7 linked regions of the Sus scrofa genome follow. The protein of the gene in region 6 purifies or fractionates together with the protein of the main gene of each other region. This does not show direct contact. Links are inferred from orthologs where the notes say so. Each region holds a gene or a part of one and is shown on either strand. Other genes may lie near its edges.

Region 1 (4,412 bases), on a different chromosome or scaffold from region 6:
AGAACTCGAGCTTGGATTTCTTGCCGTAGTCAACAGAGAGCCTCTCCATCAGGAGCGAGGTGAAGCCAGAGCCGGTGCCGCCTCCAAAGCTGTGGAACACCAGGAAGCCCTGAAGTCCTGTGCACTGATCAGACTGAAAGGCAAGAAAAGAGCAATGTGGTGAGGGGAGAGCACTGAGGAAATCTTCTGGCTCCACAAAAGCCTAAAACACCTCAGGAGTCAAGGCTAAGTAAGACTAATGAGTGTTCCATAGCCATAGCAGACTCCGGCACATGTACAATTAGAGATGACCCCATGAAACAGATCTGAAAAAAAAAAAAAAACTGTTTCTGACCACCAGCATCATCTCAAGAGCTCCCTCCCTTCCATCCCAAATTCTCACCAGCTTGCGGATCCGGTCCAGTACCGGGTCAATAATTTCCTTGCCGATGGTGTAGTGACCACGGGCATAGTTGTTAGCCGCATCCTCTTTCCCAGTGATGAGCTGCTCTGGGTGGAAGAGCTGCCGGTAGGGGCCATTTCGGATCTCATCTGGAAGGACATAAACCACACCGTTAGGGCACAAACCACAAGGCGGGGCTCAGCACAGACCCCCCCTCCCCCAGCCTGGCAGCTGTGGTCAGATGTATGGAAGAGCTCATGCTTCTGCCAGCCTGAGATAGCAGTGGGTGAGAGAAACCCAGACCTGCTGCCCAGCCAGTCTGCTATCAACTTGCCTTCTTTAGTGTCTAGCAGGGCAAGGGGTTTTCAGGGCCAGGAAAGCCAGGTCTAGACACCCTCACTCTAGACAGAAGCTTAGAGTCACTTTCCATTCCCTCCATTCCACCCCCCTCTTCCTCTCACCAATCACGGTGGGCTCCAAATCCACAAAAACTGCCCGGGGCACATGCTTTCCAGCACCAGTTTCACAGAAGAAGGTGGTGAAGGAGTCGTCTCCTCCACCAATGGTCTTGTCACTGGGCATCTGCCCATCCGGCTGGATCCCATGTTCCAGACAGTAGAGCTCCCAGCAGGCATTGCCCATCTGGACACCTGCCTGCCCAACATGGACTGAGATGCATTCACGCTGAAGGATAGAGAGGGAGGACACGGCATAAGCCCCACATACAGAAGTCCTTACCTCATGAGCCTTTCTCCCACCCTATCACCTACCAGTTTGGATGACTCAGTTGGTTAAAGTGGAGGCTTGGGGCTGGGCAGAGGTCAGAAGAGGCTGGCAGCCTGCCCAGGCTCCCCTGCATAAGACTTCCCAACTAGGGGCACCCAGTAGGGCAGGCCACTTCCTCAGCCTGCTTCTCCGTGGGGACCTTGTCAGGTAAGAGCTAGGGCTCCGCATGCTCCCGCCACATTCATAGGACACTCGGGGAGGACGGAGAGGGCGAGTGCATAGGAAACAGGCGAACACTGCAGTAACTGAGACAAGGACAAGTGATCTTTCAGCTGTTCCCAATTCCTACTCCCACAAACCAGCTCTCAACAGAAGAGACAGAAGGTCTTCCAGAACTATGAATGTGTGTAGCTAGAAGTCCCCTGTTTGATTAATTCTTTGCTTTGAGGATGAACAACTAGGATGTCATATAACCCTCGCCCCCTTTCATTCTTGCGGGCTGCAGGGGTGTCTCAGCCTTCCAGTCTGGCATCAACTGACCACATGAGCCATCAGGATGCCCTCCTCCACTTTAAATCCTATCTGGCTCTGGGATCAATCCCATCTGGCTGCTCTCCCCACCTCCACCCCCACACTCTGGGTATCTTCACCACCTTCATCCATTGCGGAGCAGGCACTGAAATTGCAGAGAGCAAAAAACGGCAGGCACCCGCAATAAGGGTTGTGGGCACTGGGGCCCTCGCTGCCCTAGGCTCATCCCTGCCAGTCTGAAATTAACCTCTGAAGAACCAAAGCGGTGCAGCTGCAGGGCCGGCGCAGCCTCCCTTTTCAACACCGAAATGGCGGGGTGACGGTTTCCAAATACCCAGAAGAGGAAGCGGAACCTGCGGTGAGGCCTCAGAGGTAACCCGCCTGGCCCTGGACAGGGTGAGCGCCATCCTGCACTCCGGCCCTGCATTCGTACTCCTTTAAGATTCTTTCCAAGTTACATCCCAGCGGAAAGCGAGGATTGGATTTCGGCCCCCATCCCTGGGCTATAAATACCACCCCCTACACACACCTCTTTCCCCTCCCCCCAACCTGGCCCCGGCCCGTGCTCTCGCTCAGCGCCAGCTGTCTCTGCCCGTCCGCGCACCCGGACTCCTGTTGGAGAGAGTCCGGCTCGCCTCACGAGGCCGAACCCCATTCTTGCCACCCCTCTAGGCTCAGAAGAGGGGTGCTGAGTCACGGGTGGGAGGCATGAGGGTAGGAGGGATGCTCACGTAGTCGGAGGAAAAGGTGATGGTGGACCAGGTAATCTGACCCCTTTCCACTTTCTTGCCCCGAGCACGTGTTGGGTTAGTTCCAGGGACTAGGGAGTGAGTGGGAGGCTAGGAGCCGAGGGCAGCCGAACGGGTCTCCCTCGCCGGCAGAAAGGACTGGGCGCGGGACCTCGTGACTCCCCCCAGGAGGGTTAGGGCACAAATGCTTGCAGAGCAGAAGGAGATTCCAGAGGACTCCTATTTGCTAGTGAAGAATCCCACCCCACTCCACCTCCTTCCCCAGGCTCCGAAAGTGGACAACGCTGCCCACCCAAAGTCACGGGGAGGGGGTGGGGTGGAAAGAATGCACCCCCCCCCAGAAAAAAAACCTCCGCAAGACCTAGAACTCCTAATGGAGGGCCCCGAGCATCCCGGGAGGGAGGGTCCCCGAAAGAGAGGGGACACTTGTGGGACAGGCACGATGCTGGCGGGGCCGCACTCACCATGGTGAGTCCGGGCGGTGGGTCTCACGTAGAGTCCGGGTGACGGGTCTCAGTGAGAACTGCGCTAGCTGCAGTGCCGCACCGCTCTTATACGCGGGGGGCGGGCCCGCGCGCTCCGACCGCCCACTAATAGCTGGGCGGCCCAGAGGCCCCGCCCCCGGAGGGTAGGCGGCCGTGAGGGGTTGGGCCCCGGCGAGTCCCCTCCCCTCAGCGTGCCCGCGTTGCTCACCTGTCGGACGTGGGTTAGGAGTAGCGACCCGGGCTTTAACCCTTCCCTCCTAGTTTTGAGCCGACACTCCGAGCTCCCAAGCTCCGCGGTTGGGACGCTGGGCGCGGTGCCAGGGCGTGTCTCGCCTGCACCTGCATCATGCGGGCGTCTGTCGCTCAGGTGTTCTGACTTAGGCCGGGTGCCGTAGAGGCTGTTTTTCCAAAGTGGCTGCACCCAGCCTTCGCCAGTGCCCTCCCCGCCCCGCCTCCCTGGAGGCTCCGGCCGACTGCCTGGCTTTGGCCCGTCCCCCAGGATCCCTCTGTAGCCGCACGCGGCCTGATGGTCCCCGGCGGGGACCGCTGGCCTTCGCCGATGCCTGTGGGCGGCTGAGGACCCGGAGCTGCACAGCCTGAGCCCCAGGTTGCCGATCCTTCCGGCTGCTCCGCAGAGCCGACCCCACAATCTGTCAGCGAGGGCCGACCCCCAGAATCTGCCAGTGCTAGCCGACTGCCAGCGAGTCAGAGGTCCCGTCATCAGAGCCGTCACTATTAGCTGGGCCTCGCCATGGCCACCTGCCCGCTTTCCTGCTGGAGCCCTATATGACCTTGGGCAAGTGACTTAACCTCACCGAGTCCTTGGCATCTTCACCGGTGAAGAGGAGACAAGATTCCGCCCAGAACGCGTTGTCGTGAGATAGCACAATGTTTGTTGACTCTGAGGAGGAAAAAAAGAAAATGGAGATTCTGACATTATGGTTGATTTTGATTTTACCATCCTCTTCTGTCCCTAAACCATGGGCAGGATTTGTGACTTGCATCTCAACACCCTCATCGCTCAGGTGGACGTCTTCACTGAAGCTCTTCCCTCTTTTTATGTTTCATTTCTGTTTCTTGCAGGAATGGACTTTTCAATCTATGTCTGCTTTCCTTTGTGTGCCTTACATTTCCTAGCTGTCTCCTTTCACTGGGAAAGTCATCAGAAGTGCCCTATATGCCTACTGGCACATCCTTAAGAAACCTGTCTCCAAGACTAGTCACTTGAAAAAGACTCACTTGCTTCTCCTATCACAGTGTTTCTTAGGGCCAGGGCTGGTGAGTATACAGCATAGTAGGATAAAATAACTAACAACGGCAACTTTCTACCAACAAAATAGCTGACTGACACCTTATTTAGGCAAGGTGTAGCAAGGGATGCAATGAAAGATGACAAAGTCTTTTTTCCCAGTAGACTTGCCATGTGGTTGGGAGAACAAGACATTCATAAAAAAGAAAACTGGCAAGGGCATATAATGAGGCTGCTTTGGGAAATGCAGCTCATGGTCTCTATAGAGCAAAGGAGCCTTGGTGATTACA
Region 2 (4,370 bases), on a different chromosome or scaffold from region 6:
TTTAGATTGCAGACATCTATTACAGTCAGTTCTATCCCACGTAAATGAAAAAAAGAACTGACCTTCTCTAGCATGACCAAAAGGAGATGAAAGTTACTTACATAATTCTTGACTTCCCGTCGAGCATTAGCATCAATAGCAAGCCACCTCTGCTGATACTGTGCCTTGATATCTGGATCTTTCGACGTCAAAGAGTTCTTGATTTGTAGACCAGCTGCAACTCTGGCAACCTGACTGTTTCCTGGATTTGCCAGCACTCTGGACAGTTCCACAAGGAAAGTGGGCTGTTATGAGAAGACGTGAAAGAAGACTGTCTCTTAGGAATTTCACCGATGGAAGAAAGCATCGAAACAATGGGGAAAACCTCAAGTTTTTAAGGACACATTATAATGTCTCATAAAATGTCAAAATATCTACTTCAAGACTCCTATAAAAATGTTACTTAGTACATAGGGACGTCATCCTCCTTCTCACACAGATTCAGCATTAAACACGGAGTTACAGGTTCTCCTATTAACATCATTCTGAGTGCCAAATCTTCACATTAAATTCCACAGAATTAAAGCAAGTTGGCAATCTGGTGGTCAGAAGACTCTTCTATGTATCTAGAACAGTACTTGGTACTCCGTAAATTATTTTTGTTACATAAATATGTTATAACAGAGTAGAAAAAATTGTTTTAGATTAAAAACATCTTAACCCAAAAAGAATGATACTCAGGGGGGCTTGGGATCTCATGGAAGCAGGTAATCTTATCGAAGAGAGAAAAGTACTTCAAAACTTTAAAACACAGGCTTAGGAGGCTAGCTGTCTCTATTTTATAGTGTCTCAGCAAGAGACTAATAATGAAAAAAAAATTACAAGGAAAATGTGCTAACAAATATTTAGAAATAGGGAGCAACTGAGAAAATAAAAATGTCAAGGAAAATAATTTTATGTTTACTAGTCAACAGTTAAAACACTAAAGGTTACTATTCGTTTTGGTTCTCAGTTGTTCACCAAACACAGTGGATTCTTGAAAATAATAGTCAATCTTTCGTACTGCACAGGCCCCCAAAACTACTATTTTTGTTTAAAATGTTTAACACACATTCTTCTTCCCCACAAAAAGCTCTCTCCAATGGAAAAGCTAACAGGAAAAACCAAAAGCAGATAGTTTCTTACCACTAACAAGTTCTGCAGTTACAGCGGAAGATAATTCTTAAGTTTTATTAATTAGGTACCACTAAAGAATGTTAAGAATGATGGGAATAAGATAAAATGCTAGGAATAAGATGAAAGCCGTCTTACTTTAGCAAAAGCAGAAACAGGAATACACATTAAACGGAAATATGGGTCTATGCTAGTAGATAAAAATCTTTTCTATGGAAAGCTAAGTATAAAAAGGTTGATGGTAAAAACCAGAACGTGTAAGGGGGAAAAAAAAATCCAAGACAATTCAAAGGCAGTTTGTAGAAAATAAAAAAACGCCTTGTCACTTTTTTTTTTGGCTTGCCTAGATAACACAAAAGAACACATTTGGTTACAGTGTTATTTAGATCTATTACCTATTACCTTTAAGAGACGTATTATCCACCGTTCTCTTTGCTCCCCACCCCCCAACAGGAGGAGGGAATCCAAGGAGAAATATTACTGGCACATAGGCTGTTTCAGTCAATCCATCTCTCGATTTTATACAGAGGTCCAGTCTCTAGTGGACTTAACACTCATTTTTTTTCTGTACCCCCTAAATTTGAAACCATGAAAAACGAGGAACTTTCCTCTATGATTTCCTCTGGAAACAGGCCCGATCTCAAGGATAAGCCTCAGCCTGTTATCTGGGTGCAGATGAAGTCTCTATTGATCGGGGCCGGGGGAAAAAATTCCCCTGGAGAGGAATAACCCGTCAAGAAAGGGAAAAACATTGCCGGAATGGGTAAAAAGGGATTTGGGTGCAGGCCTGGCCAGGAGCACAGACCAAGGGAGAAGGGAATGGGTAGGGCTCTGGGAAGTAGGTGGAGAGAATCATAGGGGTCACAGGACAGGAAGGAGGAGGAGGCCGGGGTCCGAACTGGACGGGCAGCGGGGCTCGGAGCTTCCACATGGCCCCTAGGCCCGGCTCCCCCACCCCCACCCTTGCTGAACACGCAGCGCCGCGCAACCTAACTTCCCTTCCCTCGCTCTTTCTCCCTCCTGCTGCACCGCCGCCCTCAGGCCGCGCGGCGATTGGGCGGCAGTCACCCCGGCGCGCCGCGCCATTGGCCAGGTGCCGGGGCCCGGGGCGGGACACACCCACCGGCTTCCCGACGGAGGGGTTAGGTTGGACCGGGGGAGGGGGAGGGGGACGGGATGGGGCGGGGTGGGTTCCCGAGGCCTGGGCCTCCAGGAGGGCGGGAAGGCCCGCACGCAGGGGATGGGGAGACGGGCGGGATGGGGGACGGCGGGGTGGCACGCACCAGGTTCTCCACGGCCGCACGCTCCAGGAACTTCTGCGCCGCTTCCAGTTCCAGCCGATCTGGGGGGAAGGAAAGTGGGAAAAGGGACAGGTCAGAGGGGCCAGGGCTTCCCCTCCCCCCACCCAATCACCTCAGCCCGACCCCCGGCCCCCGCGTCCTACCGGGAGACACGGTCTTCTCGAGGATGGTGATCAGCTCCATGGCGGAGGTGGTGGCGGCGACTCCTCTTAAGACTGCTGTCCGGCCTCTCGGGCGGCGGCTCCAACTGGGGATGGGGGTTGGGGGTCGGGTGGGAAGGGAGGGTGGGGTGGGGGGCGGGGGTCACCACAATCCCATTCACTGGCTCCCTCTTGGTAGTCGCTCCAGCTCCCTTTCCTTCCTCCTTTCCTTCCTTCCTCCCTCCTAATTTGCTGCTGGCGGCGGCAGCAGCTGCTCCTCTGGCGGCGGGGGAGGGACCCCGGGGGCAGCTTTGAGCGCGGCTGGTGCTCGGGTGGCGGAGGGAGAAAGAAGGGAAGGGAGGCGGTAAGTGAACGGCGGCTCGCAGGGAGGGAGAGAGAGGGAGGGAGGAAGGCGGAGGGATATTCGGGCCGGACCTCTCCGCGGCGGCACCGCGCTCCATGTCGATTGGCCACTGCCGTGGCCACGCGGAATCCCCAATTGGCCAGGCGGTTAGCATTGAAGGGCCGCCCTGCGCCCATTCGCCGGCTGGTTTCAAGGCCCGGGTTGGCTGGGCGGGCAGTGGGATGGAGCGCGTGGATTGGCCGAGGGGAGGGAGGTTGGGGTGGGGCAGGCCAGAGCCGGCCGCTGATTGGGTTGGCCTGGTAAAGGCCTTCAGCTCAGGCCGGCTGGGCGCCGAGAGGAGGGTGGACCGAAGGTAAGACTGTAGGCCCGCGTGATTGGCTGGGCTATTAGACGTTGATAGGATAGGGCACCCGGGAGAACTGGGGAGAAGAGTTCGGGGTCGGGGCCGCGGAAAGGCGGGAGGTGCCCCACTGCTTTAGAAGCCCAGCGCGGGGCACGATGGGACGCCCCCGGGAAGGGGCGGAGCCGTGTCCGGGTTGAGGTTGGGAAGCGCCGTCACTCGGAGGGGCGTGTTAAAGAGGGTTTCGCGGGCTCGAGCGGGGGAGGGGGGACCGTTAAAACTGCACCGCACCCACAGGAAGCTGCTTTAATGGCTAGGCCTACTTGGTACCAGACTCTTGGTTGGGAAGGACCTTGAAGACCATGCCGTTCAACTTCCAGTTTGCAGATGTGGAAACTGAAGGCCAGAGAGGGTATGCGACTTGTCCAAGGTTACTCAGCCAGTTAGTGGCCTGGTTGGGACTGGACTCAAGCACTCCAGACTACCGTGGCTTTTACACGCAGCACCTCCAAGGGGGTGAATGCAAAAGCAGTCCCTTTGGACATATGTATAGTTTGAGGCCTGTGCTGTTGTGAGACGTAACACGTGGGGTGGACACTTGGATTCCCCTTAAACCCTCATCCATAAGCTCTCGGGTACTTGAAGGAATAGAAATGTTTCACCCTGGAAGGTACCTTTTCTATAAAGGCACAACCGTGTACCAGAGAAAATGTGTGTACAGCCCTAAAAGATCGCCTTTTTTTAGTTATAAGCCCTGAGACAAACTAATGAAAGCCTTTCCTTAGCAAAATGTGCATACAATTTCTGGACTTCCCTTTAGATTGGGAATGGGCTCCAGGTGAAGAAGTTGCTGAATGGTTACATTTTCACCATATTGACCTAGGGTTAATAGAATGTAGCTAGCTGACAGATCTCTTCTCTGCATTAGCTCGAGCTTCTGAAATAATTGCCCTACTCTAGCCATACTGGGAAAACCTAAGAGCAACTCTGGCCTTGCTGTGAAGTTCCAACTAAAAATTAGGAAAGGCTGGCCAGCTACCTTTAATCCTTGAAAGAAAAGAAAAGAAAAAAAG
Region 3 (4,346 bases), on a different chromosome or scaffold from region 6:
CATGAACTGTGTTCAAGTAGTATTATGCTACAGCTATGTTTACAATTTTTTCCTGATGGGACCTAGATCTATAATCCCCCAACAGTGCTGACTGATCCCGGATGAAAAATGGGATGCTACTACAGGGTACACTGCATGCAGAGGGTGGGGAGGGGACTGAGAGTGTCAGAAGGCCCCGTGGAAATGCCCGCATTTACAGAGCAATTACACTCCTGGCAGCACCACTGCCAGTGCTCTGCAAACACCAGCTCCCCGCCCTTCCAAATGATGGCCCAGGAGACTGCAGCTCCTGAGGGTGCAGCCTTGTTCACTCTGTTCACCACATCGAACAGCACAGTGCCTGGCAAACAGCAGATGGTCCATAAATAGGCTGCATAATGGTGACACAGGAGCATCTCCACTTTAAAAATAACAACATGGAAGCTCAGAGAGGCTAAGTTACTTGACCAAATAATATACAGCCATGCTTGGAACCCACATTTGCCTGTTTTCCAAAGTTCTCCAATGGCATGCTATCTGCCCTGGTTCTCCGGCTTTAAGAAGGAGTGAGAATTCATCCTGTGGAGACCCAGACATAGCAAAGGGCTTTATTATGAGACCCAAGGTAAGTCCAAGGATTTTCTACAGGCAGAGTCCTTCAGACTCAGGTGGGTGAGAGAGCTAGAGTTTCAATCTTAACACTAACAGTGTGGGTCTGAAGTTGGGACTAAACCAAATCTAGCAACCACTGACAGATCCACACTTGGGCTGGCTTTGGGGACCAAATGTGATCTCCTCCAGAGCAGAGAGTTCTGTCTGCCACAGTCACATGCCTAGCAAAATGCCTGGAACACAGGAGGCACTGAAAATAAAATCAACACAGACTGTTCATTAAGGGATGAGTGAAAGCCAGTGGAAGGTGGCACCACAAGCAAAGATGCTACCGAAAACCTAGGACTTAAAAAGAGTGAAAATGAAAACAATAAGCACCATGACTCACCCAGAGATCCCCTCGCTCTGTCTTAAAGAGACAGAAAGTTCTTCGGACACAGCATAGCACCATTAGAGATGGGAAAGGGAAGAAAGCTATACATTGAAGAAGAATTTTCCCATCCAGACCCCACATCCTTGACACCACAGATAACACCAGAAGAAAAGGCTGTCCAGAGGAGCAGAAGGTAAGAACCTCACCGAGGGGCCTTTTGTTTGAGGATACCTTCCTTTTAAAAGACCCCTTATCAACCTGACCCTAGTGGTCCTGACTAAAGGTTGCTTATAAAAAGGAATAGTCTAGGAAATGACAGCTGTCAGAATCTGCAATGTGGCACTGCATAATCATAGGCATAATGCTTATGCCATGATGGACAAATTAAAAAGTCTTCAATAAGTTCTGGGCCCAAATGTATCATCTGCAAGATTGAGTGTGTGGCCCAGTTTCTTTAGTTTAAATTAAAGATACTATCCCATGTTCATTTATCTACAGTAAGATATCAGAAATACTTATCAAAGTTATATTATGGCAAATGTTTTTCACTTTTGGAAAACAGAAGAGGCATAAGATTCTAATCAGTACCAATCTTTTTTCTCCATTTTTAAGTTGAAGAAAATAGCTACCAAATGCTTTAAAATAAAATTTTAAAAAAACCACTTGCACCCTCCAAGTAAAAAAACAGCCATCTGAGTTTCAACATGTATGACAAGAGCGAGGGAAAATATTAGGAAGTACTCACTCTTGAGAAATAAACTTACTTCTGAAATAATTAAACTTAATATACATTTATACCTTTTAGCAAAACTCATTTGCCCTGAACCAAAAACACCTAATTTCCAATTAAAAAGAGATATTGTATATCTGATATGAAAACGACCACCAGTAACTGGAGAAAAAGTCTAATAGAATTTTCTCCAGTTTATTTCCCTCAAGTTAAACATGCATTGTGAAGACGCCATGGTACTGTACAAAGCAATGTTTATTTCCTTTAATAAAAATGAGTTTCAGCTAAGTTCATCAAAAGCAAGTCAAATGGAAAGGCTATAATTATCCCAAATTTTGTAGTGTTGTCATATAGCTATTTAAAATGTCTTCAAACATCACACTACAATTGGACAGCCAAGCGCATGATGAATTTTTCCAAAATAGTGTAGCACAGGAAGGCATAAGACCCCACGACCTCCAATGAACAAAATATGCTAGTTCTCAAATCTGGCAAGAAATGCAAAACAATCTAGAGTTTCTGGCCAAAGAACATGAACAGTTCACACCCATAACTTATTGGCGATGTACGCAGATCTTACTCCTCTGGCAGGTCCCACACTAAAAGTGAAACCGGATCATCCAATTTCCAGCCAACGGATCCTCGTATTAAATGAAAACGGCAACCTATATTCAGCACCTGAATTCATTTTAGGGAAAAGAGAAATCTATAAAAAGTTCCGTTCGTTCTCCTATCGGGGTCCTGCAAACTGCTGGTTCTCAACCTACTTAGGGTCAGGCTTAATCTAAATGCATGTCAGGGCACTTCCCCCACCTGCGTCTGCACTTGAGCACATGGGTCTCCAAGCTCTTCTATGAAGGCTCAAAGGGGTAGAGAGAGCCTGCGGCTACCCTCGCACAAACGATACCTTGCCCAGAAGACACTGAGGGATAACTCGGGTCACTCGCATTGAGGGGGGAAGGTTGGGACACGGGAGGGGAAACTGAGTCAGGGAAGAAACGGAAGCGCAAGGTGACCGGGACACGGAATCGCCTCGTGCCCCAGACCCTCTCCTGACCGCGAGACCGTCCCACGCCACCCAAGGGGTACCTGTCACCGGCCGCGCAGCGGCGGCACACGCGCCGCCCGCAGCCCCTTTCCAGCCCATGCCGGGGCCGCGCTCCGTCTGCGACGGCACCTGGGACAAGGCCGGAGCAGGGTGGAGCGGGGTGGGGCGGGGCAGCTGCGGAGAGGGCAGCAGCTGCGCCAGTGAGCGGCCGACACGCGCCTTTCCCGCGGCTCGGCTCACAAGCCGGCCTCGCAAAGCTAAAGACCAGCAGCCGACCGCCCTTTACTTCCGCTTCCTACTGGCTGGAGTCGGAGGACTTCCGGCTACTGAGTCACGGCGGGGACCGCCCAGAGCGTCGCGCGGCCGCCATCTTACATCCGAGAAGGCCACGCCTCTTTTGTAGCTTCCAGCTGTTTAGTATAGCCACGGAGGCTCGGGTCTGCAAGTCCTGGGGCGTTGTTTAGGCAGGCAGCTAAGACCCAAAAGCTTCACCACGTGGTGCGACCGGAAAGGGGTTTCATACTTTTTGCAGATTGGGACTCGGAGGAGCTTCAAAGTCTACTTCCTTAAACCCTTTATTAAAAAAGCTGTTGCACAGTAAAGGACAAAGTGACAATGTTTTTGAGCATCTTCGACTTTATTTTAAACCTTAGATTTCGATAGCTTTCGTTCCAGGGAGCAAGGGAAAGGAAGATTTTTTTAAATTTTATGAAACGATTTAGCTTATTTTATACGGTCAGTGGCAACTTAATCTGCAATGATTACTTTGTCCTTTGCTTCTTTTTTTTTTTTTTTTTTGAAAATATAAATCTGTGTAAAATTGTTTTAGCATATGTGACATTGGGCAGATCATTTTAGCCGCCAGATATGAATACATCTTTGGAGGGTATTTTTTAACTAATAAAGTGAACTAGAAACCAAAAGTACATTAAAAAGTAATTTAAGAAAGTGTACAATTTTAACTGACTCGATTGTGGCGTACAGTCCTTCCCTTGAGAATGCCAGACAGAACAAGGACTAAAACACCCCCCTCAATTTGTACTGTGCTTAAGAACCTCTAGCTGACTGTTGGGTTTTCAGTTCCTTGCTGGAATAAAAGGAGTGCAGATAATTTTAAGAACTGGAAATGACCATTTTAAGTTTATTTCTTGAGGGAGATTTTGTGTTAGTGGCTGTCCATTGTGTGTTTTTTGCCCCTTTTCATGTGATGCTTTCCACAAAAAAAGAGAATTGTTTTCTTTCTTTTTTTTTTTTTTTTTTTTGTCTTTTAGGGCTGCACCAGCGGCATATGGAAGTTCCCAGGCTAGGAGCTGTGGCCTCCAGCCTTCACCAGACCACAGCAACTTGGGATCTGAGCCACGTTTGTGACCTACACCACAGCTCATAATAATGCCAGATCCGTAACCCACTGACCAAGGCCAGGGGTGGAACCCTTGTCCTCATGGATGCTAGTTGGGTTCATCAACCACTGAGCCACGATGGGAACTCCCAAGAATTGTTTTCTAATTCACCACTTTACAGAGCTTTTCACTCTCTGTTTTAACTTGGTCTTCTGCTATTGATGTATAAACACCACCAACCTTTGCTTAGTTAATAAGTGATAG
Region 4 (4,384 bases), on a different chromosome or scaffold from region 6:
AGCCAGGCGGAGTACGCAGGGGCTGACCGCAGGCCCAAGGGGGCTCGCCACCTCCCAGCCCAGCAACTCCTGCACCTCGGTTTTCTCCTCTGGGAAATGGGGCTGCGTTCCGTAACCAGAGAACTGAAGAAAAGCCGGCGATCCGAGGGGTGGCGGGGGGGGGGGGTGCTGTCAGGAGGCAGTCCCCACGCTCTTCCTCCCCCTCTCACGGGGGACTCGCCCCCCCACTCACCCACAGGACTCCGCTGAAACCTCCCAGGCCTGACCCACCCCAACACCGCAGCTGTCGTTCCCAGGGCCACCCTGACAGCAGATTCAGTCGCCCTGTGCTTTTCCTTCCCTTTTTCTTTTTTTTAAGTGGCTACACCCTCTGCATGTGGAAGTTCCCTGCCAGGGACTGAATCCAAGCCACAGCTGAGACCTACACCACATCCTTTCACCCACTGAACCGGGCGGGGGATGGAACTCACGCCTCCGCAGGAACCCAAGCCGCTACAGTCAGGTTCTTACTCCACTGCACCACAGCAGGAACTCCTTCCTCATGATTTTCCTACCGTTTCATTGTGTGGCTGAAGCCGCGCCAAGAGCCCCTGTGGGGCTGTGGACACGGCTTTTCCCATTAGAGGAGCTGGCCCGGAAGAGCCACTCAATAAACAGCACAGGAAGGAAGAGAAGGAGGCAGGACAGGAAAGACCTCTGGAGCAGGGCCTGGGGGGCAGAACCCACTGTAGAAACAAGGACACACAGAGCGGGGGGAGGCCGACAAGGGGAGCAGAGACGGATGGGAGGGAATGCCAGAGGGACGGGGGGTCCCACGGGTGGGAAGGCTCAGGGCAGGAGAGATAAGGACAGCACAGCCCACGGGCCGGGCGCCCTCTTGGTGCCAGGCGGTCAGGGAGCAAGAGCACAAGACGTGCATTATCTCATTAAACACAGCAGGCGGGTAGGGTTCGAACAGAGGAGGCGATGGGGCTCTGGAGGTTAAATGACCCAACCAAGGTCACACGCTAGGCCTGGCAGTGCACACTCAACTCCAGGCCGGCGTGGCTCCCAAACACACGTCTAAGTTAACCTGTGCTGAGAGGAAGGCGATGGGAAACAAACAGAAGGCAAAGGAGGGGTCAGGCGAGTGAGGTCATCACAGCCCTTTGCCTGCGCCAGGTGTGCCTCTCAGTGCCTCACACCTGGAGACGTAACTCCGCCCCACACCTCACAGGGGAGGAAACGAGGCAGACGGTGGTCCGCCCCTCACCCTGCTTCACGGGCCTCGATCCCAGCAGGCTCTGGGCACACACACCATCCACGGACTCGCCCAACATGCTAGCCCAAGACGGAGACCTCCCCCAACCGGAGTCCCAGGGGAGGCAGCTGGCCCCTGCCTTGACCGCAGGAGAGCCAGGCACTTGGAGACAGATGTGAACAGCTGAAAAGCAACAGCCTGGATGCTAAGACAGGCCCAGCCGGACACACTGGCAACAAGAGCTGATGTGACCAACAGAACAGGAGACCAAGAGGACAGGGCATGAAGGTGGAGAAAGAGGCACGGAGAAGCCTGGGCAGACAAAAGACACAGGAAAACAGATAAAGGAACATGGGGAGACAGCGGGGTAGGCAGGCAAAGAGCAAGGACAGAGGCCCTGAAGATAAAAGAGGCAGTAAGCTGGGACTGCGAAAAAGGAGACAAGGAAAATGGGAGCGAAAGGAAAGAACATGAAATCCTGGCCCTCTGGAGATTCAGTTTGCTCAACTCTTAAATGAAGGAAAGGATTTCTACCTGGCAGGCTTGTTGATTAAATACAATGGGTACATAAAGTGCTTGGCACTGCGCCCCACAGATAACAGGAGCTCAATAATGTTGGCTGCTGTTTTAATAGGGGAAAAAAAAAAAAAACAGTATTTCCAAAAGGGAGGCATCAAAAAATGTGGTATCTTAACATCGTGTATTTATACAAGTGTACTGAAGCAACATTCAACTGACAGGGCAAACCTAAGACTCCACAGATACTATGTAGGAGGAAAACAGGTTTTTCCAAAATGAGCTGACCCAAAAATAATTATTAAACTAAATACAAGACAAGCGATACCGCAAAATTCTCCAAGGGGTGCTCCAATGACCCACGTTAAGTGTATGCAAGAGAAAATCTGTAAGTAATAATAACGGAACCCAGAGCTCCCAGCAGTTCACCACACACTTACTATGCACAAGGGCTGGGCACTTTGCCTTGGTGAATGATCACAGCAGCCCTATTATGTAGGAACTCTGAATACCCTAACTTTAAAGACTGGGAAACTGTGGCCTGGAGATGAATTACCAGACAAACATTACAGACTTACAAAAAATGGGCCTCTGATTCCACAGCCGGGTTCTTCATCACTCGGAACTCAAGAACCCAGGGGAAGGGGTTATCCTAGGCCAAGCGACAGACCCCCCGGAGAGGGAGTCGGGGTTGGAGGACAAGAGTACCAGGACAGAAGTAATAGGGGAAGACGGCGGGCCGGGGGAGATGCACAGAGACAGAGCGGAGACAGCTGCGGAGCCTAGACACGGACACTAATCCTGCCCATCACACGCTGAAATGCGACAGAAACGCAGAACCAGACCCGACACGGACAAGCAAGGACAGCGCCGTGTAAAAGCACCGAAACGGACCCGAGCGGCAGCGAGGCCCAGGCGGAGGCCCGCGGGAGGCCCAGGCGCGGACAGAGACGCGGGAGAGTCGGAGCCGCGGGCGGTCCAAGGCCGGCCCAGCGCAGACACACAAAGACCGTGGAGACGCCTGAGCGCGCCCGCCCGCCGCCCGCCGCCCGCACTCACCTGGGCCCCCTCAAGCCGCGCTCCGGGGGGTCATGGCGGGCAGCCCCCCAGCCAGCCCCCGCTCGGCCTCGGTGTCGCTGGGCGCGCGCCGGGCCGCGGGCGGTGGATGCGGAGCCGCGCTTGGACGCACGCGCGGACACACGGAAGACCGCACACCGACGGCCCCGCCGCCCCGCCGCCCGGGAAGGGCGCGGAGAGCCGGGCGGGGGAGGGGAGCCACCGAACAGACGGGAAGCAACCGAAGGCGATGGACCGGAAGCGGAAGTGGCTGCTCGACCCGCCCGGTCGCCCCTCTGCGGCGGCAAGCCTGCGCAGACTCCAGCCCCCAGCCCCCACCTGGCCGCGCGGCGTCACTTCCGGCGCGCTGACCTCGTCGTCAGGCGCCACTCGCCCGGTTGCCGCCGCAGCCTCCAGACCCCGGGAACGCACAGAAAGGGGCGGGGCGCAGCGCGGGGCCGCCGGGCGCGCTCGACCGAACCGGGAAGCCGCGCTGTCCCCAGACCGCCCCCGCACGCCAGTGCCGGACCCTCGGGGCGACCTGAGCTCCGGGCCCACGAGCCCAGACGGCTCCCGCCGCCGCCACCCGCCACCTCAGGCGGGCTCGGCACCCTCCTCTCCAGGGCCACGCCCTACACCGTCCTCCTGGACCAGCAGGCCACGCAGGCGGGGTGTGCCACCTGCAGCGTGCCAAGGGCGCCGGGGCGTCGTGGCCGGGGTGACGCTGAGGACTGCCGGGCCTCCGGGACCGACGCCTCAGCCTAGGCCAAAGGAACCCCGAGAAATGGAAGGGTGGGGGTTACATACACCAGACAAAGAGCAGCTCCATAAAGTAAAATACAACAAAATGTTTAATGAGCAAATTCGTCTTAGCAAATATGAAACTGCCACAGAGAGTAGGAGAGGGACGGGGTGACGGGGCTGGGGGGCAGGTCTGGAGAAACTAAAGTGGAAAGAATCAGCTACATAAGAAACCAAGGACAACACCGCGGAGAGGACCAGAGGCCAAGAGGACGGGAGCTGTGGTCCTGAAAGGGGAGAGGGCAGCGTAACTGGGGCCGGACAACAAAATTCAAAATAGTTTGGCCATAAAATATAAACACGCTACGTTTCTACGGTGGGAGGAGGAAGAGAAAGGGAGTGTAAGGGAGGAAAGACTGTTTCGGAGAGGGGCCGTGGGGATCCGACCCAGCCCTGTTGCGCACCCCGCCCCCCCCTTCCCTCTGTGTGTGTATCTGTGTGGGCCTGTGTGAGCACTCCCCCGTCCCTCCCCGCCCCAAGCCCCACCCCACCCCCCACCCTTAATTGCTGCCATTCCAGTTGCTGCCGGCTGTCAGGCTGTCATTCTGTCATTCGGCTGTCACTCCTCTGCCCATGGTCTTCAGAGGGGGAAAAGAGGGGGAGCGGGAGGGGGAGAAGCCCCCAGCCAGCCCTGCCCCTGCCCTCCCCCGCCGCCTCTACCAGAAGTCCCGGCGGTGGTAAGAGTCGGGGTCACAGTACTTTGTGACAACCACTCTGTTGGCGAACTTGCGACCCGTCAGGCCCTGCATGGCTTTCTGGCAGTCAAACACA
Region 5 (3,866 bases), on a different chromosome or scaffold from region 6:
TTTCTGATTTTACCCAGGTAGCTTCTCTCATCCACTTCATGCTGCCATGAAGGATAAGCAATTTTAACAGCAAAGTATGTATGCATGAGAGGGATAAAACTGACACTACATAAACTAATAGGCAAAAAAACCACATCTAGTTCCACAGATATTTTTAGTCAACATAGCAGGAAAAACAGATAACAGAAAGACTAACAAAGTTTAAATACTTACATATTATCAAAATTTAGCATTGAAGGAACTTTTCTTACCTGCCATACACCCACAATTGCATTGGCTACTAATATAAGTAAAATTACAAAGGGTTCTACAAAGGCTGTAATTGTTTCTTCGCCTTCTTCAAACCAAGCCAAAACCTGTAAGAGAAATGGCACACATTAGAATTGTGGTATGTTCTTAGGCTTTTACAACAAAAGTGGCCGGCATGAAACAATTACAAGATAAAAAAATCTCTTTTCTTACCATCCTTAGAAACAAATGGTAGCAAAATGTAATGACATAAACAACACATATCTTTTTCCTAATAATTCTTAAGACTCAAAACTATAAACTTCTTAATAATATCCTTAAGAGCCTTTTTTAATGTAATAATTGTTTTAAAATCCTAAACAAGTACTTTTGGGGAACTAAACCCCATTCATTTTATATGTGTATAAAGAAAACATTCCTGATTTTGTTAAAGTAAAAAGCAATCAAATTTTGTTAATTTGATTAACATTCCTATCAAATAAATGCTCACATGGCATAAATTCATAGCAAAAACAATTTGACCATTGACTCAAAATTAGATATATAAACTGTTAATGTCCCACTTATTTTCAGTGGTGTTACTGCAAGGTTGTTCTGTGATCAGGAATCTCTCTTGAAGGTTATGACATCTAGTGTATCAATACAACAGTTCAGGATATAAAAGCCCCAAAATGTTACAACTGGGCCCAGAACACTGTCCCAAGAAAAATGAACAAAGAATTAACTTCTAACTCACACAACTGTAACTTTCAGATTTAAAAGCTACAAGTTGAGAGTCACACTGTACTTCATAACTGAGCAAGCCTAAGATTGTGAGAAAGAATTTAACACGGTGTATCTGAAAATAATAAAAAACATGTTAAAAGAGGCATATAAATGGTTAAAATTTCAACAACCAATTTTTGTGGGAAACTGCCAATCCAGAAAAGACGTTAAACATATCTAATGGATTCAACCTGAGAGGTAAGATGTGTGTGCCTCTGCCTTTTAACATTGCTTTGGATGTTTGCATATTTCACAATAAAATATTTTAAAAGATCTATTCAGTAAACAATGGAAGCACCATTTTTGATACTCTTTAATATTGTCAGATATGATTTATAATAATAATGAAGCCATCTGACTACTTTTATACTTAGTAGAATACTATAAAGTGAGCTTTGACACAAACAGCAAACCAGAAAGATGATTAAGGCAAGGCCCAACCTGAATTTTGGAAGTAAAAGAGAATAATGATAAATTAACAAGAAATATCAACTTGGAGGGCAGGTATGCTCACGACTATACCACCAACACAAGAAAGATCAATTTAAGCAGGAGAAAAACCAGGAAACACAAGAACTAGGTCCTGATAGATGCCAATCACTGCTAACAGCTAATGAACCAGGGCAGGCAGAAAACCAGAATGAATATAAATGTTGCTCAAAGCTTTCAACAGGGCATTCCTGGTGTTAAGGCTAGGCCTAATGCCAGAATAAAAACTTCTCTAGGAAGTTATAAATACTGATAGATGCAAGATCACAGCTGCTTTGACACTAGCCTTCCAAATATTTGCCAAGGAGAGCATATCAGAAATAAGAAACTTAATTAGCTCTTGGGGGAGAAAAATTGCTCAACTTGAAGAATAACTAAGACCTTTTCAAAAGGTCAGTGAGGCATTAGCAACTGTAAGATAAGCTTCACACCTTGTTAAAGTGGGTATGAATTTCCCTCTTGGCAGCTGAGCCTGAGGAACAAACTTAAAGCAATATCCCCTACCAGCTAGAGCAAAGGAAAAGACTAAGGCAAGCATGACAGGATTACCAAAGCAAACCTCTACTTTTCATGAAATGTGTGGTTCATCTGCACAAGTGGTATTCATCAATAATGCAATAACCCTCACCTGCACAATGTAGTAGACTTTTCTTCCACTGCATTATTATCATTATTGTTATTTTGGCTGCATTTGCAGCAAATTCTCAGGGACAGGGATCAAATCTCAGCCAAAGCTGGGACCTATACCACACAACACCAGATTCTTAACTCACTTCGTCACAATGGAAAACTCCTCCAATATGAATTTTAAAATGTGTATGTGTAAGAAACACAGGAATGCATAGTTATTTGAAGGTTCTGTAGAATTACTGAATGTATAGTTACTGCTTGATGAGATACTAGAGGACAAATCTCTCAGCCTGGAAGGATAGAACTGAACCTATTAAACACTGACAACTAGTAATTTTCTAACTACTTTAAAAAACATCCTTTTCTGGAGTTCCCATCGTGGCACAGGGGTTAATGAATCCAACTAGGAACCATGAGGTTGTGGGTTTGATCCCTGGCCTTGCTCATTAGGTTAAGGATCCAGCGTTGCTGTGAGGTGTAGGTGGAAGATGCGGCTAGGGTTGGGTGTTGCTGTGGCTGTGGTGTAGGTCGGCGGCTACACCTCTGCTTAAACCCCTAGCCTGGGAACCTACATATGCTGCGAGTGCGGCCCCAGGAAAGACCAAAAAAAAAAAAAAAAAAAAAAAAAAAAAAAATCCTTTTCTGGAGTTTCCATCATGGTGCAATGGAAATAAATCTGACTAGGAACCATGAGGTTGAGGGTTCGATCCCTGGCCTCGCTCAGTGGGTTAAGGATCCAGCACCTCCATGAGCTGTGGCGTAGGTCGCAGACATGGCTCGGATCTAGCATGGCTGTGGTGTAGGTGGGCAGCTACAGCTCTGATTAGACCCCTAGCCTGGGAACCTCCATATGCTGCAGGTGCGGCCCTCAAAAGACAAAAGACAGGAAAAAAAAAAAAAGAAGAAGAATCCTTTTCTTGGAATTCCCATTGTGGATCATCGGATTATGAACCCAACTAGTATCCATGAGGATGAGGGTTCACTTCCCGGTCTCGCTCAGTGGGTTAAGGACCCAACATTGCTGTAAGCTGTGGTGTAGGGGGCAAAGTTCAGATCCAATGTTGCTGTGGCTGTGGTGCAGGCTGGCAGCTGCAGCTCCAACTCAACCCCTAGCCTGGGAACTTCCACATGCCACAGGTGCAGCCCTAAAAAGTAAACAAACAAACAAATAAAAACAAATTTTTTTTTTTGCCACACCCATAGCATACAAAAGTTCTCAGACCTGGGACAGAACTCCAGCCACAGCAGTGACAAGGCCAAATCCTTAACCATGAGATCATTAGGGAACTCCAAAAATTATCTATATTTAAACCCACAAATGCAAGTTCCCGCTGTGGTGCAGTTGGTTAAGAATCCAACTGCAGTGGGTCGGGTCCCTGTGGAGGTTCAGGTTTGATCCCCAGCAAGGCACAGGGGGTTAAAGGATCCAGCGCTGCTGTAGCTGTGGCTTGGATTCAGTCCCTGGCCTGAGAACGTCCATGTGCTGTGTGTGCATCCATAAAAAACAAACAAAAAACCCAAAACCTCACAAATAACCTTAAGAATTAAATGCTACAACTCAAATTGAAGATCAACTGTACTTCACTTACTGCTAAGAACGAATCCAGTGAATTATGTTCAAACCACATTGTACAATCCTTCATGGTTTTGTCCTACTGAAAAGAAAACCTCTCTTGGGTAAATGGGAAGATGATGCTGACAAACAAAAGACTCCACGAGTTCCCGTTGTGGCA
Region 6 (3,866 bases):
GCTCCTCCCCCAGTCCCCCCGTGCTCCTCCCCCAGTCCCCCCGTGCTCCTCCCCAGTCCCCCGTGCTCCTCCCCCAGTCCCCCGTGCTCCTCCCCCCAGTCCCCCGTGCTCCTCCCCCAGTCCCCCGTGCTCCTCCCCCAGTCTCCCGTGCTCCTCCCCCGGTCCCCCCGTGCTCCTCCCCCGGTCCCCCGTGCTCCTCCCCAGTCCCCCGTGCTCCTCCCCCAGTCCCCCGTGCTCCTCCCCCAGTCCCCCGTGCTCCTCCCCCAGTCTCCCGTGCTCCTCCCCCCGGTCCCCCGTGCTCCTCCCCCCGGTCCCCCCGTGCTCCTCCCCCGTCTCCCCGTGCTCCTCCCCCCGGTCCCCCCGTGCTCCTCCCCCCGGTCCCCCCGTGCTCCTCTGCCCTCTGGGAGCTGTGTCCTCCCCAGTGCCCTGGAGACTCTTCCCAGCAGAGCCCTCCTTCCACGGCCCCTCCGCTGTGCGATGCTGGGCAGAACTCAGGCATCCGCAGGAGAGGCGCAGTCATTGCATCAGCTCAGGTAGCGCCTGTAAACCGCTGGTGCCCTCCTGCTGGGGGTGGAGGCCCTCCGCGGATGTGAGGTCACTGGATGACCCGTCTCCCAGGAGCCAGCAGAAATCGTCCATCTTTGCAGACCCCATGGCCCTCCCCGCCGTGCTCTGTGTGCCTGAGTCACTAGGCAGATGTTTACATAAATGTCACAGCTGGAACAAGCCCTCTGCTCAGGCTCAACTTTTCTTATCACTCCTGACTCTTCGCACCATCAGCTCCTTTGAACAGCTAACTGTCCTTTACGCCTTTGCAGCCCTGGTGCCTGATCTATCTAGGTCACAGATACTTTTTTTTTTTTTTTTTTTTGCCATTTCTTGGGCCGCTCTCGTAGCATATGGAGGTTCCCAGGCTAGGGATCAAATCGGAGCTATAGCTGCTGGCCTACAACACAGCCACAGCAAAGTGGGATCCGAGCCACATCTGCAACCTACACCACAGCTCACGGCAACGCCGGGTCCTTAACCCACTGAGCAAGGCCAGGGATCGAAGCTGCAACCTCATGGTTCTTAGATTCGTTAACCACTGAGCCACAGTGGGAATTCCTGGTCACAGATACTTCTTGCCCCCTCCACCTCACACCCCTTTCTCCAATGAGATGCCACAGAACACCTGCCAGCATCTCCCTGTCCCTGCCCGCCCCTCCCATTTGCCCTTTCTCATCTGCATCACATAGTCATTCCGGGCCAGCCTCCCCGAGAACCACCAACTCACTGCGCACTCATCACTTATGCTAAGAGGCTCAAGCACTGGCCTCCTTCCTCCCTACATCCCTAAATTCTGGCCGTGCGTCGTTCAAGGACCCGGTGCAAGGCCATCGTGACCCCTCCGTGGAGTGGAGCCTCCAGCTTCCCTCTCACCCCCCCTGCCGGGAGTTCCATGGGGAGTCTCCATGCCAGCTGCCATCCTTGTAGCCGAAGGCAAACTGGAGAAATGCAGGCATATTTCACGAGTGTTTAGAAGGGGGGCACGTTTTCTCATGGGGTCCTTTCTCGCACAGAGATCCTGCAAGGCGCCGTGCGCTTCAGCAACAACCCTGCCCTCTGTCACGCGGAGTCCATCCAGTGGAGGGACATTGTCAACAGCGACTTTCTAAGCAACATGTCCATGGACTTTCAGAGCCAGCTGGGCAGCTGTAAGTGTTCCCCAGAGCCGCCAAGGTGGGCAGAGCGCGGAGTGCTGGGGTGGGTGTCGGAGAAGGCTGAGTTAATGCTGAGTTACATTCATCTGAAAAGTAAGTAGTCAGCAGATTGTCTGCTTGCTGGAAGAGCACCTGTTTTAAGATAGAGGGTCAGTTAGCACCCTTGCTGGCAGACCACCCCCAGGACAGCTGAGCCGCTGTGTGGCATTGAGAAGAGCCTGCCAATCAGTCATGGCCCTCGATGGCTCCCCCATCCTGTTGAGGAGGCCGATCAGGCTCTTGTGTGTGTCTGATTTGCTTCTGAGCCTCTGCTTGGCACCAAGCCTTCTAGAACTGTGGAGCTGACCTCTGCCCTCCTGCTGGGGGGCCTGGGCTCCCCTGCCAAATCGGGGAGCGCACGAGGATGAATTTGTCCACATGCGCCTCATGCCACTGTTCACTGTCAAGCAGCCCACGCGAGGGAGAGGCTGGTGGAGCCAGGCTGCAGGCCAGGGCTGCCCAGCCTGCACTGTTGGCGGTGCTGGGGGCTCTGAGAACACCAAGCCCCCCTCAGCTTGCTCCCTTCCAGCTCTTCCTGGCCTTTCAGTACTTGAAAATCAGGAGCCATCACTGTTTCTCACCTCTTTGCTTCCTAGGACCATTCCAAGAGATGCATGGGTTTGATTGGTTTGTTTTTTTTTTTTGGTCTCAGAATTTGGAACTGATATCGATCTTCAAAATCAACTAGAGCTGCTCTGTTTTGGGGGTTTTAAAAATTTGGTTGATGACTATGATAAAATTTCTTAAAATAAAACTTGCCATTGTAACCATTTTTAAGCATGCAGTATGGCAGCATCAGGTACATTCACACTGTTGGGCAACCATCACGCCATTCATCTCTTTTCATCCTGCAAAACTGAAACTCTGTCCCCACCAAACAACAACGCCCCAGCCCCTGCATCCGCCATCTCTCTGTCTCTGTGAATTGGACGGCTTGCATCGCACACCGTTTGTCCTTTTGTGACTGGCTTCTTTCACTGAGCACAAGGTCCTCCAGAGCCGCCCAAGCGAGAGCAGGTATCAGACTTTCCCGCCTTGACGTGGCTAATAGTCTTGCACCGCACGGACACTGGTACACGCACTCTGGTTTGTCCATTCACCTGCTGGGAGCACTTGAGTTGCGTCCATCTTCTAACAGTCGTGATGAAATGCTGCCATGAGCATGGGCATTGAACCCTTTTGTTTTGCGAAGATATTCTTCCAACAGATACCCAGTGTGGCACCCACCATGTCTGCAAGGAGCTGAAAGCTTTATTTTACAGGTCAAAATTTTGTGTTATCCAGAAATCAAGGTTAGCCTTTCCTCAGCTGTCTGATGGATAATGGAAAAGTTAAATTGTGTAGATTTATAATGAAAAAATTGACATGGCACGGCTTTGAAGTTAATATGGGTTTGCCGTGGACCAGATCAAGCAGCCCAAAGGGGTACACCTGGCCTCCCTGCCCAGTGCTGCAGGAAAGCCCTGGCAAGGAGGTACTGAGAGAGAACAACGGTGGACAGGTGTATGCAAATGTTACACAGCTATGAGCCGTAAACCAAGATAGTTTTGGTTTCAGAGTAGACATGTAAGAATAAGCCATAGAGAGTTAAGAATGAGACAATAAGAGAGAGTTCCTTTGTGGCTCAGCAGGTTAAGGATCTGGCATTGTCACTGTCAGGGCTCTGGTTATGGCTGTGGTGCAGGTTCAGTCCCTGGCCCAGCAACTTCCATGTGCCACAGGTGCAGCCAAAATTAAAACAAAACAAAACACAACACTTAAGACAGTAGGAATAAGCCTAACTCAATCACACGTCCGTAAAGAGGTAACATTTCAAACAAATAAGAAAATAATTCATTATTCAATAAATTGCTCTGGAATGATTTAACTACTAAGGGAAAAATATCAAAGGACGGAACTCAAGTACTTTTTTAAAGGAACTGAAGATATGAGGTTAGTCACACTGGAAATTACAAAACTGCCCTTCAGCTGCCACCTGTACTTTCCTCCTGAGCGACCTGATCTGCGACAGGTTCAAATCCCGCCCCACCCCATGGAAGGAGAAACCGCACCCTCAGCTGGTGCTTTTCAGGCCACAAATAGCTTCTGAGAACTTGTCTCATTTCATATTTACCCCCAAAAATC
Region 7 (3,866 bases), on a different chromosome or scaffold from region 6:
TGCTATGCTGCTCTGGCTGCCTTATTACAAATAGTCATTCTTCTTTGTATAAAGAAATTGGAGCGCATTGTAGAGATGATGTATGTTGCTTCAGATCAAGGGAAGGCTATAAATTCCCTGTCTTCTGATGGCGTTCAGCAGTGTACAAACTTCTATAAACCAGGGTTTCTTAGAATTAGTCACTATTCTCAGGGTAAAGAAAGATTGGAAGGAGATATAAGTAAAAATATTGGAACTTAACAGAATGGTTTTTAGAAAGAAGTAAAAGGCACCTTTCAAGAAACTATAGTTGTAATTATGAAAAAGGTGAGGAAGGAATGTGATTCATTTCAAATACATTTGGGAGATTATCAAGTTGTCTCCATGCACAGAGGCAAATCCCCATGGATGTGATTTGCAGGGCTGTATTTCTGCAGACAGAAATCAAGTGCTCTTGTTATCACTGCTCTGTCAGTTGCTTTTGCCATTGTCTAATTCCTAATCTGCAAAGGCAGAAGATAAAATGCTTACTGGAAAATCGTATTTAACAAAAAGCTGAGTGGAAATACTTACCTCTTCCTATGACTTCATTGAAATGCACAATCAGGCTGCTTGGCCCAATCACTACATGCTGAACTGCCTGGACCAGCTCTGGATTTAGAGCACTGAGGTCAATGTGGACGGTATTTTGCAGTAATGGACTAGATATATCAGAGTCTCCACTAGTTAGGATGGGGGATAGGTCTGTCAGAGGATACTGCACTTGTCTGCATGATCCATTCTGAGATGAGTTAGGGAACTGGTCTGCAAGATAAAGCAAAATTATTAGAAACAATAGTGAAATCTCACTTAGGAGAGACTTTAACAGTGGCAGTAAATTAAGAGCAAAACCAAATTTTAAATTCAAGTTTAAAGAAATAGTGTTTTTATCAATGAATAAGGCTAGGAAGACCTTTGCAAATGAATTGGTTTAATAAAATGATAAACTGGGAAAAGATACATGTGTATATTTAAAAAAATACTTATCGATTTTCCTTTAAGTATATTAAGTAGTAACTTTAAAAGATTTTTTCCCTCTTCATTTCCTTAGACATGTCTCTTTTAATATATAGCTAAAAGCTAAGCTTGGGGGTTGTTTTTTAATATACTATGTTCTTTACAGTGGAAGGCAGCAAAAGTAGTCAAGCTACTAGCTTGTGTGACAAAAATTCAACACAAATATAAGAAAATGAAAAAGAAGCCTTTTGAGAGATAAGTGTTTATTAATGGAATTAATTAGTATTGCTCAAAACCTATGTGGATTCCTGGCCAAAGAAAAATATGTATAGTGAAATATTATATACTGTATATAAATATACATACACACAAATGACTAGAAATATATAATGGCTAAGTTTTCAGGAGTCAAACTTTTTCCCATTAGGGGTAAATTCTCCATCATGTCGTGACAGCAGTATATCTAGTGTTACTGCTACCTAGATAAAGCAGGTTAGAATTGGGTTAGTGTGCTCTCTTCTCATTGCTTAGTTGAGGGCACTTGGAGAGGGACCAGATTAGCATTCCTTACTAGTTTATCTTTATAACCAAACCTCTCTAAGAGCCTCAGACAAGGTTCCCTTTTGCTGGGTGAATTTTTCCATTTCAGGGGTAAGGAATTGTGGGGCTGAGAATAAATTTCTTAATGCCAAATAGGGCAGAGAAACCACCAGTTGCTTCTCCCTTTTCCCTAGGAATCCGTACATGTCAAAGAAAGGACATTATGTCTGCAGGAACTGACTTGAAGATAAACTGGGATGGGAATTGAGATGTATTAGTATATAATGCCAGGAGAGGGGAGAAGCTTATTTGGGCAGGGGGCCCATAACCAAAAGAAAATATTGTTTGTTTGTAAATGAGCAGGAAAATCAGAATTTAAGAAAGGGGCATAAAAAGAAAGTTGATGGTACCCTGCCTATTCCTAACCCCACTTAAGCATTTTTAGTATTTTCCAGATTGGATGGTTTGGTTAAAATATCAATTTTACAGCAGTAAATCTCAACAGTCCTCCCAGAACAGCTCTGGGACCACCTGTAGTTATAGTAATTACTAGCTGGAAATTAGACAGATGAAACCTTAAGGAAAGGATGGAGACCATCAGGGGAGTGCTTGAGATGTTGAATGGGTAAGGGAAGGAAGAAGCCTAGCTGGGCATCAATTCCTTTAATACCAGAGCCAGGTTTTTGGAAACTTCCCCAGGGGATGGAAATGCAGATGAGCCTCCCTAAACTCAGTTTCTTTACCTTCATTTCTCAAACCTTTGCACCTAGAGATGAGGGTTCTAAATTCTCAGAGGTATAGATAGAGATTGAGGGATAGCCTTGATGAGGCACAGGAAAAAGTCCTCTAGCATGGAAATTCTACTGACCTCTGGGCTAAGTTCAAGTATGAGCACAAACCAATTTAAACCATCAATGTATGATTCTGGTGTAACACACAGAAGTCTAGGTCTGCATGAAAGACTGACAAGGAAGCTGTCCCCATCACATATAGAGAGAAGCTCTATAGGTGCCTCTTTATTAGGTGCTGGCTGTGCATTTCTTTATTATTCTCTTTGGATGCCTTTCCTTTGCCTATTTTATTTTTCCATGTCTTCAAGATGTAGGTTCAATGTAGGAAAGGAGATGAAAGTCAAGTTTCTTAGCAGCAATGATGACAGAGGTCTGGCAGGTAATGAGGCTGAAGGAAGATTTAGTATGCTTCTTTTAAAAAATTACTTCTGAACTTTAAAGATCTCAGATTAGAGCCGTTAAATGTGAATATAAAATAATAAGTAGGTCTAAATTTCAAAACTGTAAACTGGATGATTCGTCCATGTTGTTAAGGGCTTGAATTCTGAAAGGTGAGTGGAGTCATGTGGGAAAAGACAATACTATTAACAGCATCTATAGAACCCTCTATAGAACTAACATAAACTTGGAAATGTAAGCGGCAATAAGTGTTGAAAAAGTTAAAATGTTAAGTGCCTCATTGCTCTTGTACTTGTTTTGATGAGCAACTTCTAAGTTTTCCAGTATCCTCAACCATTTGTGACTCATTTTATTTGTCCAATGGTAAATATTCAACCAGGGAAATGGTTGTACTTGACTCACGTCCTGTAACTTCTAAAGATAATGGAGCAGATACAATACAGACATTTTGCTTTTACCAGGAGATTTTAAATAAAACAATGTGAAATGCTCTGGATAACCTGACCATTATTAGGCCTAGTGTTTCGCCAAACAGATGATGCTAAACCTTCCATTTTAAATAGCATAACTGAAGGTTTTTATTGGATGAGATTCAAAATATATTCAACTCTGGGATGCGGGCAAAAGGCTGAGTACTAAGAGTTCATTGAGAAGCCTTCAAAGGAGTGCTAAAGATATAATTTAAATGTTTGAGGATCAACAGGTAAAAAATGTGGCAGTACCAACTTCTATTTCAATAAATACAAGTTTCATATCTCAACTCTTCCTATGTTGTTAAAATGAGCTTCACAGCTGCTTAGCATCGCATTCATATGAAAAACACGTTACCTTTGCACAAATAATTTTAAAGTGAACCTTTTTGTGAGAACAGAGCTTAAAGACTCTAAAAATCTCATATAATATATAAATGAGTTCATTTTAGAATAAGAGCAATGTAACTCTATCAAATTAAATACTTCTTTGGCCAAAGAAGAGGTGAACACTTCTTTTATAATTTTATAAAAATATAAAGGCAAAACCAAAAATAAACAACAATGCTACAATCTACTTTGGTGTATGTATAAGTATTTTTCAGAACAGTAAACTGAAATGTACCTTCTGGAAAAGTAGCTCGGTAGTCTACAGGTTCACTTGAAACCATTTCTGTAGTTGGGCTTACAC

What was found.
Region 1: the proteins of EGFR (region 6) and TUBA4A purify together in Homo sapiens (affinity purification with mass spectrometry; 3 studies listed by BioGRID and IntAct, with this or other methods). This does not show direct contact. The link is inferred for Sus scrofa from reciprocal best matches to the Homo sapiens genes EGFR and TUBA4A.
Region 2: the proteins of EGFR (region 6) and KPNB1 purify together in Homo sapiens (affinity purification with mass spectrometry; 3 studies listed by BioGRID and IntAct, with this or other methods). This does not show direct contact. The link is inferred for Sus scrofa from reciprocal best matches to the Homo sapiens genes EGFR and KPNB1.
Region 3: the proteins of EGFR (region 6) and UGGT1 purify together in Homo sapiens (affinity purification with mass spectrometry; 3 studies listed by BioGRID and IntAct, with this or other methods). This does not show direct contact. The link is inferred for Sus scrofa from reciprocal best matches to the Homo sapiens genes EGFR and UGGT1.
Region 4: the proteins of EGFR (region 6) and EPN1 purify together in Homo sapiens (affinity purification with western blotting; 3 studies listed by BioGRID). This does not show direct contact. The link is inferred for Sus scrofa from reciprocal best matches to the Homo sapiens genes EGFR and EPN1.
Region 5: the proteins of EGFR (region 6) and ATP2A2 purify together in Homo sapiens (affinity purification with mass spectrometry; 4 studies listed by BioGRID and IntAct, with this or other methods). This does not show direct contact. The link is inferred for Sus scrofa from reciprocal best matches to the Homo sapiens genes EGFR and ATP2A2.
Region 7: the proteins of EGFR (region 6) and MET purify together in Homo sapiens (affinity purification with western blotting; 6 studies listed by BioGRID and IntAct, with this or other methods). This does not show direct contact. The link is inferred for Sus scrofa from reciprocal best matches to the Homo sapiens genes EGFR and MET.

The regions. Positions count from the first base shown.
Region 1 is NC_010457.5:121,291,061-121,295,472, forward strand, and holds the start of TUBA4A (tubulin alpha-4A chain), read right to left. Parts: upstream 2,989-4,412; 5' UTR 2,856-2,988; coding exon 2,853-2,855; intron 1,067-2,852; coding exon 844-1,066; intron 532-843; coding exon 383-531; intron 134-382; coding exon 1-133. UniProt on the Homo sapiens protein: Tubulin is the major constituent of microtubules, a cylinder consisting of laterally associated linear protofilaments composed of alpha- and beta-tubulin heterodimers.
Region 2 is NC_010454.4:23,914,546-23,918,915, reverse strand, and holds the start of KPNB1 (importin subunit beta-1), read right to left. Parts: upstream 3,134-4,370; 5' UTR 2,637-3,133; coding exon 2,597-2,636; intron 2,495-2,596; coding exon 2,436-2,494; intron 285-2,435; coding exon 102-284; intron 1-101.
Region 3 is NC_010457.5:59,262,020-59,266,365, forward strand, and holds the start of UGGT1 (UDP-glucose:glycoprotein glucosyltransferase 1), read right to left. Parts: upstream 3,035-4,346; 5' UTR 2,842-3,034; coding exon 2,784-2,841; intron 1-2,783. UniProt on the Homo sapiens protein: Recognizes glycoproteins with minor folding defects. Reglucosylates single N-glycans near the misfolded part of the protein, thus providing quality control for protein folding in the endoplasmic reticulum.
Region 4 is NC_010448.4:59,788,660-59,793,043, reverse strand, and holds the start of EPN1 (epsin-1), read right to left. Parts: upstream 2,922-4,384; 5' UTR 2,816-2,921; intron 1-2,815. Other genes in the region: U2AF2 (splicing factor U2AF 65 kDa subunit), read right to left, coding at 4,270-4,384. UniProt on the Homo sapiens protein: Binds to membranes enriched in phosphatidylinositol 4,5-bisphosphate (PtdIns(4,5)P2). Modifies membrane curvature and facilitates the formation of clathrin-coated invaginations. Regulates receptor-mediated endocytosis.
Region 5 is NC_010456.5:31,681,515-31,685,380, reverse strand, and holds part of ATP2A2 (sarcoplasmic/endoplasmic reticulum calcium ATPase 2), read right to left. Parts: intron 357-3,866; coding exon 252-356; intron 1-251.
Region 6 is NC_010451.4:139,420,595-139,424,460, forward strand, and holds part of EGFR (epidermal growth factor receptor precursor), read left to right. Parts: intron 1-1,562; coding exon 1,563-1,697; intron 1,698-3,866. UniProt on the Homo sapiens protein: Receptor tyrosine kinase binding ligands of the EGF family and activating several signaling cascades to convert extracellular cues into appropriate cellular responses.
Region 7 is NC_010460.4:29,447,253-29,451,118, forward strand, and holds part of MET (hepatocyte growth factor receptor), read right to left. Parts: coding exon 3,801-3,866; intron 784-3,800; coding exon 553-783; intron 1-552. UniProt on the Homo sapiens protein: Receptor tyrosine kinase that transduces signals from the extracellular matrix into the cytoplasm by binding to hepatocyte growth factor/HGF ligand. Regulates many physiological processes including proliferation, scattering, morphogenesis and survival.